Arabidopsis thaliana: one gene and its partners. The protein of the gene in region 2 interacts with the protein of the main gene of each other region in a pairwise test. Each region holds a gene or a part of one and is shown on either strand. Other genes may lie near its edges.

The links. The genes of interacting proteins can lie anywhere in the genome.
Region 1: the proteins of REP (region 2) and RABA1f interact in a two-hybrid assay, tested with the Arabidopsis thaliana proteins (one large-scale study listed by BioGRID).
Region 3: the proteins of REP (region 2) and RABA1d interact in a two-hybrid assay, tested with the Arabidopsis thaliana proteins (one large-scale study listed by BioGRID).

The regions. Positions count from the first base shown.
Region 1 is NC_003076.8:24,482,584-24,486,882, forward strand, and holds RABA1f (RAB GTPase homolog A1F), read left to right. Parts: upstream 1-1,914; 5' UTR 1,915-2,166; coding exon 2,167-2,387; intron 2,388-2,549; coding exon 2,550-2,982; 3' UTR 2,983-3,122; downstream 3,123-4,299. Other genes in the region: RUG3 (Regulator of chromosome condensation (RCC1) family protein), read right to left, coding at 3,205-3,416, 3,477-3,632, 3,715-3,843, 3,918-4,112. UniProt on the Arabidopsis thaliana protein: Intracellular vesicle trafficking and protein transport.
Region 2 is NC_003074.8:2,033,876-2,040,066, reverse strand, and holds REP (Rab escort protein), read left to right. Parts: upstream 1-2,275; 5' UTR 2,276-2,404; coding exon 2,405-3,120; intron 3,121-3,240; coding exon 3,241-3,363; intron 3,364-3,478; coding exon 3,479-3,578; intron 3,579-3,663; coding exon 3,664-3,702; intron 3,703-3,786; coding exon 3,787-4,039; intron 4,040-4,140; coding exon 4,141-4,216; intron 4,217-4,322; coding exon 4,323-4,515; intron 4,516-4,599; coding exon 4,600-4,683; intron 4,684-4,758; coding exon 4,759-4,866; 3' UTR 4,867-5,154; downstream 5,155-6,191. Other genes in the region: RWA2 (O-acetyltransferase family protein), read left to right, coding at 47-103, 239-335, 426-659; AT3G06545 (uncharacterized protein), read right to left, coding at 1,090-1,166, 1,257-1,755. UniProt on the Arabidopsis thaliana protein: Substrate-binding subunit of the Rab geranylgeranyltransferase (GGTase) complex. Binds unprenylated Rab proteins and presents the substrate peptide to the catalytic component composed of the alpha subunit RGTA and the beta subunit RGTB.
Region 3 is NC_003075.7:10,318,685-10,323,639, forward strand, and holds RABA1d (RAB GTPase homolog A1D), read right to left. Parts: upstream 2,890-4,955; 5' UTR 2,656-2,889; coding exon 2,435-2,655; intron 1,896-2,434; coding exon 1,472-1,895; 3' UTR 1,178-1,471; downstream 1-1,177. Other genes in the region: NRAMP5 (NRAMP metal ion transporter family protein), read right to left, coding at 1-53, 134-270, 399-976; AT4G18810 (NAD(P)-binding Rossmann-fold superfamily protein), read right to left, coding at 3,579-3,677, 3,944-4,084, 4,184-4,264, 4,343-4,456, 4,543-4,666, 4,747-4,862, 4,940-4,955.

The sequences.
Region 1 (4,299 bases), on a different chromosome or scaffold from region 2:
TATTGGTCGTTGGATTGGATTGGTGACACTAGGAATCAATGGTGATGATGGAGAGGGGTCCAGATTAGGTAGGTGGTGGTCATTGTAGGGAAAACACTTGAGAGGGGAGTAGGTCCATTAGGACATGTGCATAAGTTATAAAATCTCATACAAATCATACACGGGAAAGTTTGGTTGGGCGGTTGGGAGAGTTTGGGATTGTCTGTGGGTTGGTGTATGACTCCACCATGTTCCCCTAATCATTTTTCCTTTTATTATTTCATGATTTCTTACTTGTATTTTCTGTTTTTTTTTTCATCGATCGACTCAATTGTTTGACAAATTAGCTAGAAGTAGTTCATGGACATTTTTATTCAAATGCGGGTTTAGTCCTATATCTATAATGATGGCCCTAAGAGTGATAGGTTTGAACGTTTTAATAGATTTTTTCGATAGCAAGACTCTTTACACTTCGCCATTTTTAACATTTTTTCTTTGGCTATTTTGTAGAATCTTCTAGAACTCTTAAAATCTTGTAGGATGGTTTAGAGATTCTAAAGAAGTGCGGAAGAATTCAAATGATCATTAGCACTTTTCAGATTCTCCTAAATCATAAATCATAATTAACTTCGTATCAAACACATTTACTTTCAAAGATCCTAATCTAAGCCATGTTGATGGAACCATTGTGATGGTGCGACTTGGTTTCATGCATGTTATGATGTAATACGTTCTCGACACGTGAATTATGTCTGAATGACCACTGGTCAAAGTGTTTTTTATGTTGAATATGCGTATAGAATTTGGGGAAAACTGTTGAAAAATGGTTCCACCAACAAAACCTATTTTTAATCTCACATTGAAAGCCATACGTATCAATGGACGTCGATATCTAAATCTAAGCTCCAAAGAGCCGATCCGAAACCAACACATGGCTGAAGTGATCACCTGCTAAGATAGAAAAGATTAGTGTAGGAATCTCTTTAGTAAATGTCGAAGTTGAAGATTAAGTCACCATCAGTTGACAATGAACTCAGAGAACTCCAAGTATCATGAGACAATGACAATTAATGAAGAAATTGAAACTTGAAAGTTGGAACGGTTGACGTCGGTGGGATTAATGTCACATATGTGTAACATGGCAATAGAAAATACTAAAACTTAAAATGAATATTGAAAAGAAAGTCTCAATTAGTACGTATGTAAATTGTTCAATTGTGCATTATCAAGTTTACATTAGCTGAAATGACAACTAAATGAAATGGTGATGCGATCGTAGAAAAGATAAGTTATAGACAAATTTAGAGATTTAACATTTGCAAAGAATCACTTTTAACATACAAATTTTGTATTGTGGATTATCAAGGTAACATTATAATTGATTAGCTCAAACTTGTATTTAGGTATAGTAGGTTGCTGAGCTGGGATTACAATGAAACAGCTGTATTGAAAGACTTGGTAAGTGGTCCATTCTTAGTCTTTGAATCGAAGGCATGGTTCGATCGGAACTCGTCCTAACCGTATTTCGCATTACTATTTGTATGTAACAGAGTCTAATCTCTCTTAACTTAACAACACAAATCCCATAAAAATGGATAGAACTAGCAAAATAAAAATCAAAGAATTTTACTGAAGTTACTGAACTTTATGATTGTAATGATCAACAGTATCGTCTTTACACAAAAAAATATATGAAGAAGATGATACACAACACATTTCATTACACCATCTGATCCATCTCCATCTTCAAGTATAAACTCATTCTTATTTAGTTTACAACTATTTTTTGTCTTTTGGGAATCTTATAAATTATTTCGGGGTAATTAACGTCAATAAAATAACTTACACCTACCGATATAAGACTAAGGTGAAAAAGTATACGTTAAGAAAAGTGAAAAACTTTAACAAAAGAAAAAATTCAAATCAGAATCACTAACCCGGTAAAAATGTAAAACCGTTTCCCGGACCCAAATAAGGACCTGGATAACAACCCAGACCCGAAATTAAGTCGGATCCGGATCTCCTTGATTTATTTTTTAACATTTTTGTCTTTCCCCTGGAAATTTGAAACTCTCTCTTCTTTTTTTGTTCTTCTTCTCATTGGTTGATCGATACGCGCTAAATTTCTAGAAATCTCAGATCCATAAAATTTTCCGAGGAGAGATTCTCTAATCAGAGAACCTCACAATGGCCGCATATAGAGCCGACGACGAGTACGATTACCTCTTCAAAGTTGTGTTAATTGGAGACTCCGGCGTTGGAAAATCCAACCTCCTTTCTCGATTCACGCGCAACGAGTTCAGTCTCGAATCTAAATCCACGATCGGTGTAGAATTCGCCACTCGTAGCATCCATGTCGATGATAAGATCGTCAAAGCTCAGATTTGGGATACCGCTGGCCAAGAAAGGTATATATATATATATATATATATATATATATGTATGCCTCGATTTCAATTTTGAGAAATTTTCGTTTTCGATTGAATCTGAAGAAACATACATTGATTCCTGATACATTAGCTTGATTATTGAATGATCTACGTAATCGTGATTGATTTTTGGTTTTGAAGATATCGAGCAATCACAAGTGCATATTACAGAGGAGCTGTAGGAGCGTTGCTTGTGTACGATGTCACAAGACATGTGACGTTTGAGAACGTTGAAAGATGGTTAAAGGAGCTTCGAGATCATACAGATGCCAATATCGTCATCATGTTCGTTGGGAACAAAGCGGATCTCCGTCACCTACGAGCTGTTTCGACTGAAGACGCTAAGGCTTTCGCTGAGAGAGAGAACACTTTCTTCATGGAGACATCAGCTCTCGAATCGATGAACGTCGAGAATGCTTTCACTGAAGTACTTTCTCAGATTTACCGTGTGGTTAGCCGGAAAGCGTTGGATATAGGAGACGACCCGGCTGCTCTTCCCAAAGGACAGACCATCAATGTCGGATCGAAAGACGATGTCTCTGCGGTGAAAAAGGTTGGTTGCTGCTCAAATTGATGGTACGTTCGACTTTCAAGAATCGGTCTCACGGTCGATCTTGTTCATTTCTTTTTTGTTGTTATATGTGAAGATCTTGTTCATTTATTTGTATAATCACACACCTTAAACCATATTGAATACCACTGCGTTTCCATATCAAATGTATATCCCAAACAACCTTTGAGCTGAACCATAATGTTCTGCGTTTCTAAGGAACGGTACCGCCTATCCAAGTGTTACTTAAGGTGATCTTGAGACTAAACACAGAGCATGAGAAGCACCAATGGAAATTGAGATAACCTTGTGTGGTTGACACTCATCTTCTTCGGTTAAGAAATTGACTTCGACCGGAGTAGTTTGGATCTCAGGGAGACCTGGAACTCCTAGCTGGAAATCTTTAGCGTTTCCCCACATCCAGAGTTCACCCCCATCTGTCAAAAACCAATCCCATCCTTTTGGTTTTGTTTGAGTTATTTATCATGTCAAATGAACATATCTATAGCTAAATATACCTGTTATCGCTGCAGAAGAGGAACCTCCACTAGCGATGAAGACTATCTTTTTGTCAGCTAATGCTTCGATTTCAGTAGGAACTTTCTGGTTTCGCAGCGAGGAACTACCCAACTGGCCGTGGCCACCGTGGCCCCATGAGAGTACTTTACCTTCCTCTGTTTTCACATCAAGCAATTTTCAAGTCAACTTAGTAGAGACCGACAAGAAAAATTGTTCAGTTGGGAGAAGATTGTTTACCGGTTAAGGCAAGAGAATGATATCCACCGCACGCAATCTGGGTAATACGAACCCCTTCTAAACTGGGAACCGGCATTGGTTCCCAACCTCCCAAGTTATCACCGCGTCCGAGTTCATAATTGGAATTTGCTGATACAAAAAGATCCAATGAATTCTTTTTTACACCACCAAATGTAAAAACGAAGGCTTGAATTGGGTTTTACCTCCCCAGTTCCAGAGTTGTCCCTCTTTTGTAAGAGCCATTGTGAAAAAACCACCACATGAGACAGAGGCTACAGGAACTGTTAAAGCTTTGACCTTTGAAGGAACACTAAGCCCACCACCTTCGTTTGGTCCTCGGCCTGGCCCGAGTCCTAATCTACCATCTCCTTCTTCTCTTCCCCACATATAAAGCTCCCCTAAAACCAAAGAACAAGTCTTGCTCGATTAAGACACAGACCGAATACTAGTATATCAAACAATTGAAACAAAGAAGAAGAAGAACCGGTCTATATTTTAAGAAAAAGAGGGTAACTATAGACATATGATCCTCAGTGACAGCACAGTGGGGATGGTTTGTTGGAAAACTTCAATTAAGTTCTTTTC
Region 2 (6,191 bases):
CTCTTATAACGATTTTTTCAAGAAAAATTTGTTCATGAACTTTCAGGTGGCTTGGAAAGATAACACTGGAGACATATATCTCCCAGTTTCATATATGGCTCAGGTATGTCACACTTTTCTTGCCCAAGTTCTCAATTGTAGAGTAAGTGGGAAATTGATGGTGGAGCATGCTAATACAATAAGCTATTAAGATTTTTCCTGACCCATTGAACTATGAAATAATCTAATTCACCCACAGATCTGGAGTTCCTGATGGTCAACCCAAATTACTACTATCTCTTGTCCCGGATTACCCATTGTTGAACTTCATGCTCACTACTTCGATTTACGTCGCTGTAAGCAAACCCTGCTACAACAGATAGAAACAAGTTGAAAGCCAGACAGATACAAACAAACTGATTGGCTTTTTGTTGCTCTGTTTTCAGATCTCTTATAGGCTCTTTGAGCTTACCAACACTTTGAAAACAGCCTTCATACCAACCAAGGACGACAAACGCCTTGTCTACAACACGATCTCAGCACTCATAATCTGCACTTGTCTCTACTTTTTCTCATTTATTCTTATCACAATTCCCCAAAAACTGGTAAGTCAAAATTTTATCTTTTTGTGTGGGAGAAAGCTTTTTTTTCCCTGGTACTTGAGTTCATTGATATGTTAGTGCATACACAAAGCGAGGACGAATGTCATCCTCTCATATTCGATTGAACCATCTCACGTTTTATTATTTCACTGGAAACAAACAGGTGTGAAGCACTTCTGAACCGGACCAGAGTGGACTATTCGAATGAATTCATAGGAGTTGAACTACGCGATATGGTAGATATACGAAGATAGAAATCAGAGGTAGATGCATACAATGTTGCTGTAATGTCATCTTTCTGTATATTTATTTATGAATAAGGTGTTCTTTCTTGTTTATTTGTGTTTCTGTTCACGATGATGTTAAGACTTATTATTGTCTATTACAAGTTAAAGGAAATCCATATGAGTAATTGTATAGCTATAAAATCCAGATTAATCTTACATCAAAGTAAAATATGATGGACTTGCAAAAGCCATTACTTTAATGTAAGGAAACATTGATATACTTAGATAGAAAGTGTAGTCATAGCATGTGTGTCAAGCTTGTCCTCTATTGCTCGGTAGGCAGAGAAAGTGTCCGAGTCTTCCCATTTGGAGAAATTATACGCGGGCCCAAAGGAAAGCAAAAAATGAGGTACTGATATTAAAAACAATAACAGTACCTTATAGTCACCCCGGTATAGATTGTTAGACATGCTAAAGAGACAAGATAACCAACCGAGGAAGAGCGTGTACAAAGCATGTCCGATCTCCATCCTAAACTTATCCGATAGCTGAATCAGCCCTAACCCTCCGGTGAACAACGAGATGGTGAATAACGACATGGACAATTCAAACTCTTTGTTTGTCAATAGCTCATATATTAAGGGCAATGCCAACGCTAAATTTGCGGAAAATGTCGAAAACAAAACCTGAGGTACTCTCTCCAACTTTGTAGTAAACTCCTTGTAGCAAGCGGAAGGAGGAGCGGTGAAAAAAAGATATCTGAGTAGCGTCACTGCGTAGAATGTTGTGACACTGACCGCACCGTCCCTAAAGGACTGAGACGATGAATCTCCAGGTGGCCAGAGAAGATTGAGTGATTTGGAGAGGCCAAAAAGTGAGAGTAGAGTCATTATATACCATATTCCTCTGCAAACAAACACATCCATATCACTAATCTTCTTCTCCATCGTGTGTGTGTTTTTACTAGGACTATGGGGTTTCGGAGATTTAATAGTCGTCGTGAATTCGTTTTTCGATTTCTTTTATTTAGTTAGTTAAATCTGCTTTTATCCAGAAGAATGTGGTATATCTCTATTATTAGTTAAAAGTGGTTAGAAGATTTTCATAATCACAACAAACAAAAGAAATCTTCGCAATCTTTATCTAACACTTTTTTTTTTCAAGATATATAAAATTCTTTTATATTCAACAAAGAAAATAGTTCAAAAAATCACATTATAAGTGGACCACTGACCAGTAAAGTGAACGAAGAAAGTATAAACTCTATTTTCTTCAATTAAACCGTTTATATAAAAAAAAAAATCATATTTTAAGTTTCTAACATAAGAAAAACAGTAGACCCTATAGTCTATGCGTTGATTAAGAAGATGGGCCATGTTGGGCCGATTCACACTTACCTCTTTTATTCATTTACATCTTAGGCCCATTACGTTTGTATATGTAATGTAAGAAGAAACTTCTTCTTCTCTTGAACCTCTTCCTCGATTCTCCTCACTCATCTCAACATCTTCCCAGATTATTCAACGCTCGTGTATCGATCAAGCTACTGAAGTCACGTTGGTTCGACTTTTGATACACAAATCTGTTCGAGCCACCATGATCGACATCCCTCCTTACCCGCCGCTTGATCCTTCCAACTACGATCTCATTGTCGTCGGCACCGGAGTCTCTGAGTCCGTCTTAGCCGCCGCTGCTTCCTCCTCCGGTAGTTCTGTTCTCCACCTCGACCCTAACCCCTTCTACGGCTCTCACTTCGCCTCTCTTTCCCTTCCCGATCTCACTTCTTTCCTTCACTCAAACTCCGTTTCTCCTCCTCCGTCGCCGTCATCTCCTCCTCTCCCTCCGTCAAACAACCATGATTTTATCTCCGTGGATCTCGTTAACCGATCCTTGTATTCCTCCGTGGAGATTTCGAGCTTCGAATCGGAGATCCTCGAAGAACACTCTAGAAGATTCAACGTTGACTTGGCTGGTCCTAGGGTTGTCTTCTGTGCCGATGAATCAATTAATCTCATGCTGAAATCAGGAGCTAACAACTACGTTGAGTTCAAGAGCATCGATGCCAGCTTCGTTGGGGATTCGAGCGGTGAGCTACGAAATGTGCCGGATTCGAGAGCTGCTATATTCAAGGACAAGAGCTTGACTCTGTTGGAGAAGAATCAGCTCATGAAATTCTTCAAGCTTGTTCAAAGTCACTTGGCTTCTTCTACCGAAAAAGATGATTCAACAACAGTCAAGATATCGGAGGAAGATATGGAGAGTCCATTTGTGGACTTCTTGTCAAAGATGCGTTTACCACCCAAAATCAAATCGTATAACCTCCTTCTCTGTTAATGGCAGCTCTTTGGACATTTGTCTCTGCTTAATGCTTCTTAGAATTTTGTCTCTGAAATGTTGATAGGTAAGGCTTTGTTTCCTCTTCTTCTGTGTAGGATCATCTTGTATGCCATTGCGATGCTAGATTATGATCAAGACAATACGGAAACTTGTAGACATTTACTCAAGACCAAAGAGGGGATAGATCGATTGGCTCTATACATCACATCTATGGGCAGGTCATTCATCATTTTCTCATTCCTGGCTCTTACACATTTGTGATCATCTTTCTTATTGGTTTACATTATCATTGGTTATATTGAGTATAATTTAGCTTTTGATTCTCTACCTTAGGTTTTCTAACGCACTTGGGGCGTTGATATACCCAATTTATGGACAAGGAGAACTTCCACAAGCCTTTTGTCGTCGGGCTGCTGTCAAAGGATGTATCTATGTACGTTTGGAACAATTTTCTGCATTGTGTACTGTGTTGCTGTTGTGGTATTTGTTACTTATTTAGTCTTTCATTGTTTTCACAGGTTCTCCGGATGCCTATTACTGCTCTGCTTTTAGACAAGGCAAGTTAGCTGACAGTTGTAGCATAAGATAAGTTTAGTTGACGGAAAGGATTCTTACTTGATTATTTTAAACTCTTTTTGCAGGAAACTGGGGGTTACAAAGGGGTTAGATTAGCTTCTGGTCAAGAGATATTCAGCCAAAAGTTGATTCTGGATCCATGTGTTACTGTTGGATTAGAGTCTCTGTCGTCATTGACAGATCAGCAAAATGAAACTCTCAGTGTTCTTGTCCCAAAGTCGATGATCAATAAGGAGAAAATTGCAAGAGGAGTATGCGTCATTAGAGGTTCTGTGAAAGCTAATGTATCAAACGCTCTTGTCGTTTATCCACCTAAATGTAAGCTAATTTTTGAAGACCCACTAGTTAGTTGTTTCACTTACATGTATATCGTCTTTTGCGTTTTGAAGGTTCTAACATTAATAGTTTTTTCCTCTTAGCTTTGTTTCCAGAACAGCTAACTGCAATTCGGGTTCTGCAGCTTGGTAGTGGTTTAGCGGTTTGTCCTGCTGACATGTAAGTTGTGGTTTAGCCTAAGATGATCTTTTCCCATTTTAGTTCTGTTTCTTTCCATTTGCTTAGCTTTAACTGTTCTCTAAGCCATATATATTTGCTGCTGCAGGCATGTTTTATATCTTTCAACTTTGTGCGACAATGATGACCAAGGGATAAAGGCGCTATTATCAGCCATGAGTAATCTCATCAGTTTGCCTGTTCCCGAGAATCGTCAAAGCGATTCCGTTGTTGAGAATGATACTTCTGAGACAAAACCTATTCTACTCTGGAGAGCACTGTACGTGCAAGAGCTAGTCAAGGTGGAAAATGTGATTGGGAATTTACCTTTTCATTTCGACGTTGGTAATGTCATTTTCACTAAATAAAAGTTTGATTTGGATCAGGGTGAATTTGGAGGTACGATCAGTTCCATGCCTAGTCCAGATGGAAACTTGAACTACAATGAGATAGTGGAATCAGCCGTGAAGGTTAGTAGAAGCTCCTTACAGCAGTTATCTCATTAAGTTATGGTTTTGATAATGTTATCATATTGGATTTGGTAGCTATATGAAAAGCTCATGGGGAGTGAAGAATTATTTAAAGAAGAGACCTCACCGGCGGAGAACACAACGGAGGAGGAAAACGATGGTGGTGTTGAAATAGAAGATTGATTGATGAATGAAACCATTGGTTTTAAAGACTTAGAATACCCATTTATTTATTTGATTGTAACATATAGTTACCCCGTTATTAGAGGGGAAGCAGGAAGATTGGCAGAGGGAGGGTGAGCCATTTTCTTTACTTATTCACTAGAGAGCAACTATGATTAGGGAAGAAATAAAGGATTGAGAAGAAGTGATTAATCCACGACCGCTTGTCTAACCATTGAAACTCCACAAACTTTAAATCAACGACTAAAAAGAAATAATGAATTTGTATAGAAATTAATTTATTCAGACATCTTTTACCGATCACAACCATAATCGTTCTATGTTTCTCTTTGAATAAACACTTCCGATTTCGTATATTTCGACTCCAATTCTGATTTTCATGGCCAAGTCCAGAAACTTAAAAAATCAAGGAAGATATCATTATCGACTAGGAAATTTGACTTTGAAGTCAAGATTAAGAATTTGAATGCTTTTTTCGAGATCGTTGGGTTAATGTTATCATATGTAATGTGGTGCCAAGCTCTCATTATGAGGCCCAATTATGAGGGTTTGGTTATTCTCTGGAGAGAATCGTCAATCGTTTATCCAATCCCAAAGGTTGACACTTGACAGAATTTAAAGCCCATTGGGTCTGAATTAGCGTCGGAATTGGACCCGAAATAATTCTATCAATTAAAGATTAAAACAGAACTACACGCGTGTAGGAATTTAAAATACAAAACCACTCGCATCACAGGCGCGTTTCGGCGCGTGAGACTATAATCCGTGGACTATAACCCTCCTTTTCGGGGATTTTTGCATAAATTTAAAATTGAAAAGACTTGCAGCGCGTGGGACGAGATTTCATTTGTTGTATAACTTATTGTTCACGACTAGTTTTTTTTTTTTTTTTTTTGCCTAAAGGTCTTTCTATTGACTTTTTATCATAAAATGGAACATTACAAAATAGGTCAAGCCCAACTAGATGATTACAAAATTTTAAAACTGAAACTAAAAAGGCCCAACCCCAATAAAGGGATACCAAACCCAACTTGAAGAGAGGCATGAAAGCTAAAAGGATTAGACCAAAAGCCCAAACCACTATAGTTTATTTACATGAGAATATAACAAGACGAAAAGAACTATTACCGTGTGTTATCTTCTGCTCAGATTATGGTCCGAAATTATTGTTATCGATTCTTGATTCAGATTAAAAATGAGGTAAAACTGTAAAGAATTTCTGAATTGTGATTTTGAGGTTTGCACTTTAATAGAAAACGAAGCTAGTACTCATCTCCTTTTTTTTTTGCTGAAATATGAAAGTTTTTGAGCTATAGGCTACAAAA
Region 3 (4,955 bases), on a different chromosome or scaffold from region 2:
AACTCCAACAGCTTCTCTAATCGTCTTTGATCCGAGTTTCGGAATAATAATACCTTTCAAAATCATCATCAAGATAAAACCAAATCAAGAAATGACATCAAATAAGAGACAATGCTTAATCTTACAAACTTACCTATGAATAGTTCTTCAACACTTGGCTTAGTTTCATTAAACATCCAAGCGAACGAAAGCGCCATTGTCGCAATCAAAACCGCGAAAAGACCTTCTAATTTCCTCATTCCACATTTCTCCAAATACGAAATCAAGAAGCTGTTTTTTCACAAACAACACAAATCAAAACTTGTGTTACAAACAACACCGCAAAAAGACCTATTTTGTTTTTTAATAACTCAGGTGATCCTAAAGGCGTTCTAAGCCAAAGACCTAGTTTTGCTTACCAATCAAATGATGTGATGATAACACCAACCCAAATAGGTAAAAACCCTCGAGTCAAAATCTGAAGAGCGATCGCGCTTCCGATGACTTCTTGAATATCAGCTCCGATCAAAGCAACCTCCGCCATGAACCAAAGCAAGATTCGCGCCCACGAAGGATACTCACTTCGACAAATCTCCGCTAAATGTCGACCCGTGGCGACACCGATACGAGCAGAGAGAAGCTGCATCAGAAGTCCCATTAGCGTCGCCCATAGAAGAAGCCATAGGAGAGAGTAACCAGCCACAGCTCCGGCTTGTAAATCTCCTTCGATATTTCCTGGATCTAGAAACGCGATGCTCATGAGAAATCCAGGTCCGGTGAATTTCCATAGCTTTGCCCATGAGAATGGCGGAACTGAATCGTAGGTTTTGTCTCTGTCTTCTTCTACGTTCAGGATCTGATTCTCCGGTGGCGATTCGTGAAGCTCGTCCTCCTCTGGCTGAGAGGTTTCGGGAACTAATAGACGTTTGAATTCGCCGTTACTGTCGTTTGGTCTCTTAGGGCTGTTTTCTTGGCGGGAAACGGTGGATCCCGTCATCTTAGTAACGGAATATTCTTTCGGCGTTACTGACGACGTGATTTGTTTTAAGAAAATTTTAAAAGATTACATGGATTATTTTGATAAAATTAAAATTAAAGTCAAGAATAGTCAAATGAGAAAACAAAAGCAAATTCTAAAAATGAACTGTTATTAAAAGTTTCTATTATTAGAAACTGAATTGTGATCTCTATTTTTTTGACGAAAATTTTCTAAATTGGTATAACAAAAATTAGTTGTGTTCAAGGATTAGCACAATAAATATTGGTTTAGAGATATTTGCGGATTGAATTAAAAACAAACCATAGACCAGAACCGGTTAAATTACAAAATCCCTTAACCGGTACAGAATCAGACCAAAGCTAAGCAATTTTCAAACAAGCAAATCAAAAGGCATAACATAGTTTGTTTTCCTAAAAAAAAGCAAACATCTTCAAAAACAAAATTTGAATGTAAAATTTAAAAACCGATTTCAGCTTTAGGACATAAGACCATTTAGTTGGAGCAGCAACCAGTTTTCTTCACTGCGGAAACATCAACATCGATCTTCTCTCCTTTCGAAGGAACATTACCGGAATCTTCACCAGCCTCCATTGCTTTCTTGCTCACAACATGGTAAATCTGAGTGAGTACTTCAGAAAACGCGTTCTCAACATTGGTAGATTCAAGAGCTGAGGTTTCCATGAAGTAGAGTGATTCATTCTCTGCAAAAGATTTTGCATCTTCGGTTTGGACTGCTACAAGATGGCGAAGATCGGATTTGTTTCCCACAAGCATCACAACTATGTTTGGGTCAGTGTGGTCACGGAGTTCCCTTAGCCATCTCTCAACGTTTTCGAATGTTGAGTGTCGGGTTACGTCGTAAACAAGAAGCGCCCCAACAGCTCCTCGATAGTAAGCACTAGTGATTGCTCGGTATCTAAAAATAGCGAAAAGAGGAGAAACAAAAACCCGTTAACGACTTAGTCATTGAAACTCTGTTAAATTAGAAAGATAGGAACATAATAAGAACCGAAATGACAAGAAAGACTTCAAAGCAATAAGCTCTTCAGCTTCAATGGTAGAAAACGATCATTAAAGAAATCGATATCGTCATCAGAATTAACGAACATATAGAAACACCATGAACATATACGATACCGAAGATTATCATCAACCACTGGTTGATCAAACTAATCAGCAAAACAACAGAATTTCTACAAAGCTGGTAACTTTAAGCATAATTGTTGAGTTCTCTCATTATACACAAATACAATGTACACTTCACCTCCAGTAATTATATACACGATCACAGGTTAGGTTGATTTCTCAAGCTTTCTCTACGATAAACTGATTCCATTAACTAAGACAGATCTAATGAAATTGTATTGACTCCACAATGCATCAGAAGGCCAATACCTAAAACACAGATCGAGAAATGAACAAATGAAGACAAAATCAAAGAGACGGAGCTTAAACCTTTCTTGACCAGCAGTGTCCCAAATCTGGGCTTTGATGACTTTTTCATTAACATTCAAGCTACGAGTCGCGAACTCGACCCCGATCGTTGATTTAGACTCGAGACTAAACTCGTTCCTGGTGAATCGAGAAAGCAAATTGGACTTTCCAACACCTGAATCACCGATCAGAACCACCTTGAATAGGTAATCGTAATCATCATCTGCTCTGTAACCCGCCATTAACACTTCTCACTGAATCAAAAAAGCTTCACACTTTCAACGAATAAAGAAACGAAAATTGCTCTATGATCCCAGAAAATTGAACAAAACTTCGATTTTGCTTTTTTACTTTCTTCTTTATTCTCTTTAGATTCAAATATTTATTCCTCAGATTTCTACAGAAAGACACAGACTTTGAAAAAAGTTAGGGTAAGACTGGTGTCTTTCTAGCTGGACCATGATCACCGATAGATTCTGGGTGAAATATTTTGTATACATGTACTAAACTACCCCGGATTCACTCCCTAAGATCAGGGGTAGATCCGACATTTCGTTAAACTTTTGTATGTATATGTTACATGCTTTCATTTTCTTGAAAAGGTCAAAAAGTAGTGGTGGTGGTCATGTTACATTGGTAAACGGCGATATTTCAGTCACTCTCAATGATGATCTAACAAAAATGAAACATTTCTAGCTCTATCTTCTAGTTAGTGGATTCTGTATATACCCAATGGGTTTCAACACACACTAAAATGGAAGCCCATATGGGCTAATCACATAGTAGTTGTGTGTATTGTCTAAATTCTTTGAGGTTAGCAAAAACTCACATATCTGCTGCCATGTGAAAAGAGTTCAATGATTTGTGTATTATGTAATATGTAATCCAAAAACGCATCTGTACATTAAGAAAAGAAACAAAAAAAAGAGTGAAAAAGGAACATAGACAAATGTTCTGTGCTCCTCTCCACTCATCCTCCATTATTAGCCAAAAAATCCATTATTTTGTCATTACCATAAAAGTCTCCATCAACCCTTTTCCTCATGAAACCCTCCTATCAAAATTTAGATTCTTTACTTTTTCTTTTCTTTAAAAAATGTCTGAAACTCCACCTACATCTTCATCTTCTTCCTCTGTTTTAACTCAGAATGTTACAAAACCAGTTTCAGACAAACTTCTTCAGAAGTACATTGACGTGTCTGAGTTTCAGTTTGATTACCAGACAAGCGGTATCTGGTCTCCACCGTTTCAACGGACTGCTTTTCTTACACCACAAGGCAAAATTCTCACAGACAGAGAAATGGCAGAGAAATTTCAGAATCTTGTTGAAGAACCTCCACGGATCAAAAGGTACAATCTTTATTGTTGTCGTCAATAAGCTTTTGTAAATCTTATCTACAATGTACGATATATGGAGTATACAAACATGTTTCTACACGACTCTTTTGTTGTTGTTTTTACTTTTGGAAAGATTTTTAACGAAGATGAGACAACACACAGTTACAAAAGTAGATAAAACCTGGTTTAAACTGCAACAGTGCTCTGTTCTAAAGCTTCTTTACCGGTGATTCCATCTTTCAGAGTCTTGAAATACTCATTGTAGTCTTTCTCCGGTGGAGGATTCTCAGGATCTACCGTGAAAGGCTCGCTAAACGGAACCGTACTTTTAACCTGAAACAAACAAACAACACACAAAACAGCCCAATTCAGAAATTTAACTTTTTGAATAGCAACCCGGAAAAATCGAAAAATTGATGATTCTTTAAAAACCTCGAAGGTCTTGTTAAGAGCATACGGGCTTTCTAAAGCAGCGATGCATATACGCGCTACTTCGTCTCTTGATACCTTCCCCTATATAAAGGTAAAGTTGGTTAGGTTAGTTAACTTAAAGAGTTGTTGGATTTCAAGGAGAAGCGAAATTGAAAATACCGTAATGTTGTCTCCTTGTTCGAAAATGAGATCAGCTCCGGCAGGCTCTTCTGTTAAAGCACATGGCCGTACAATTGCAAATGGAATCCCGCTGTCGCGTATCAGATCCTCTCCCTAGTCATTCAAAAGTAAGAGCTTTAAAATCTTTTGAAAATGACTTTTCCAATTTTCTGCGAAGCAGAGAGTATAGAGAGACAAACCTTTAACTTGTAAGTGAGAATGAAATCAAGCTCTTTGTTTAATCTCACGGCCGGAGGTTGTTTGCTTAGATCCAAACCGGGTCTCTCTGGTCGAGTAACTCCCGCAGAGCCAACGTGAACAAACCTGTAACGATAAGTAACGAAATGCTAGTTCAGCATTTAGTGAAGAGTTTGGTTTCTAAAAAGCAAGAAACTAGATCAGACCTTGGAGTGACGGGGTCTTGGATATAAGCTCGAATGCTAGATAAAGGAAGCTCGAAAGGTCCTTCTTTGAATGTAGGGTTAAGCTTACCATCATACTCAAATTTGCTAAACATAAGCTGAAAAATAGCCAACTTATTAATCAAACATTTAGAATGGGAATTTTAAGAGGGTTAACACAAAAAGGAAAACAAACCTGTAGTGAAATGATA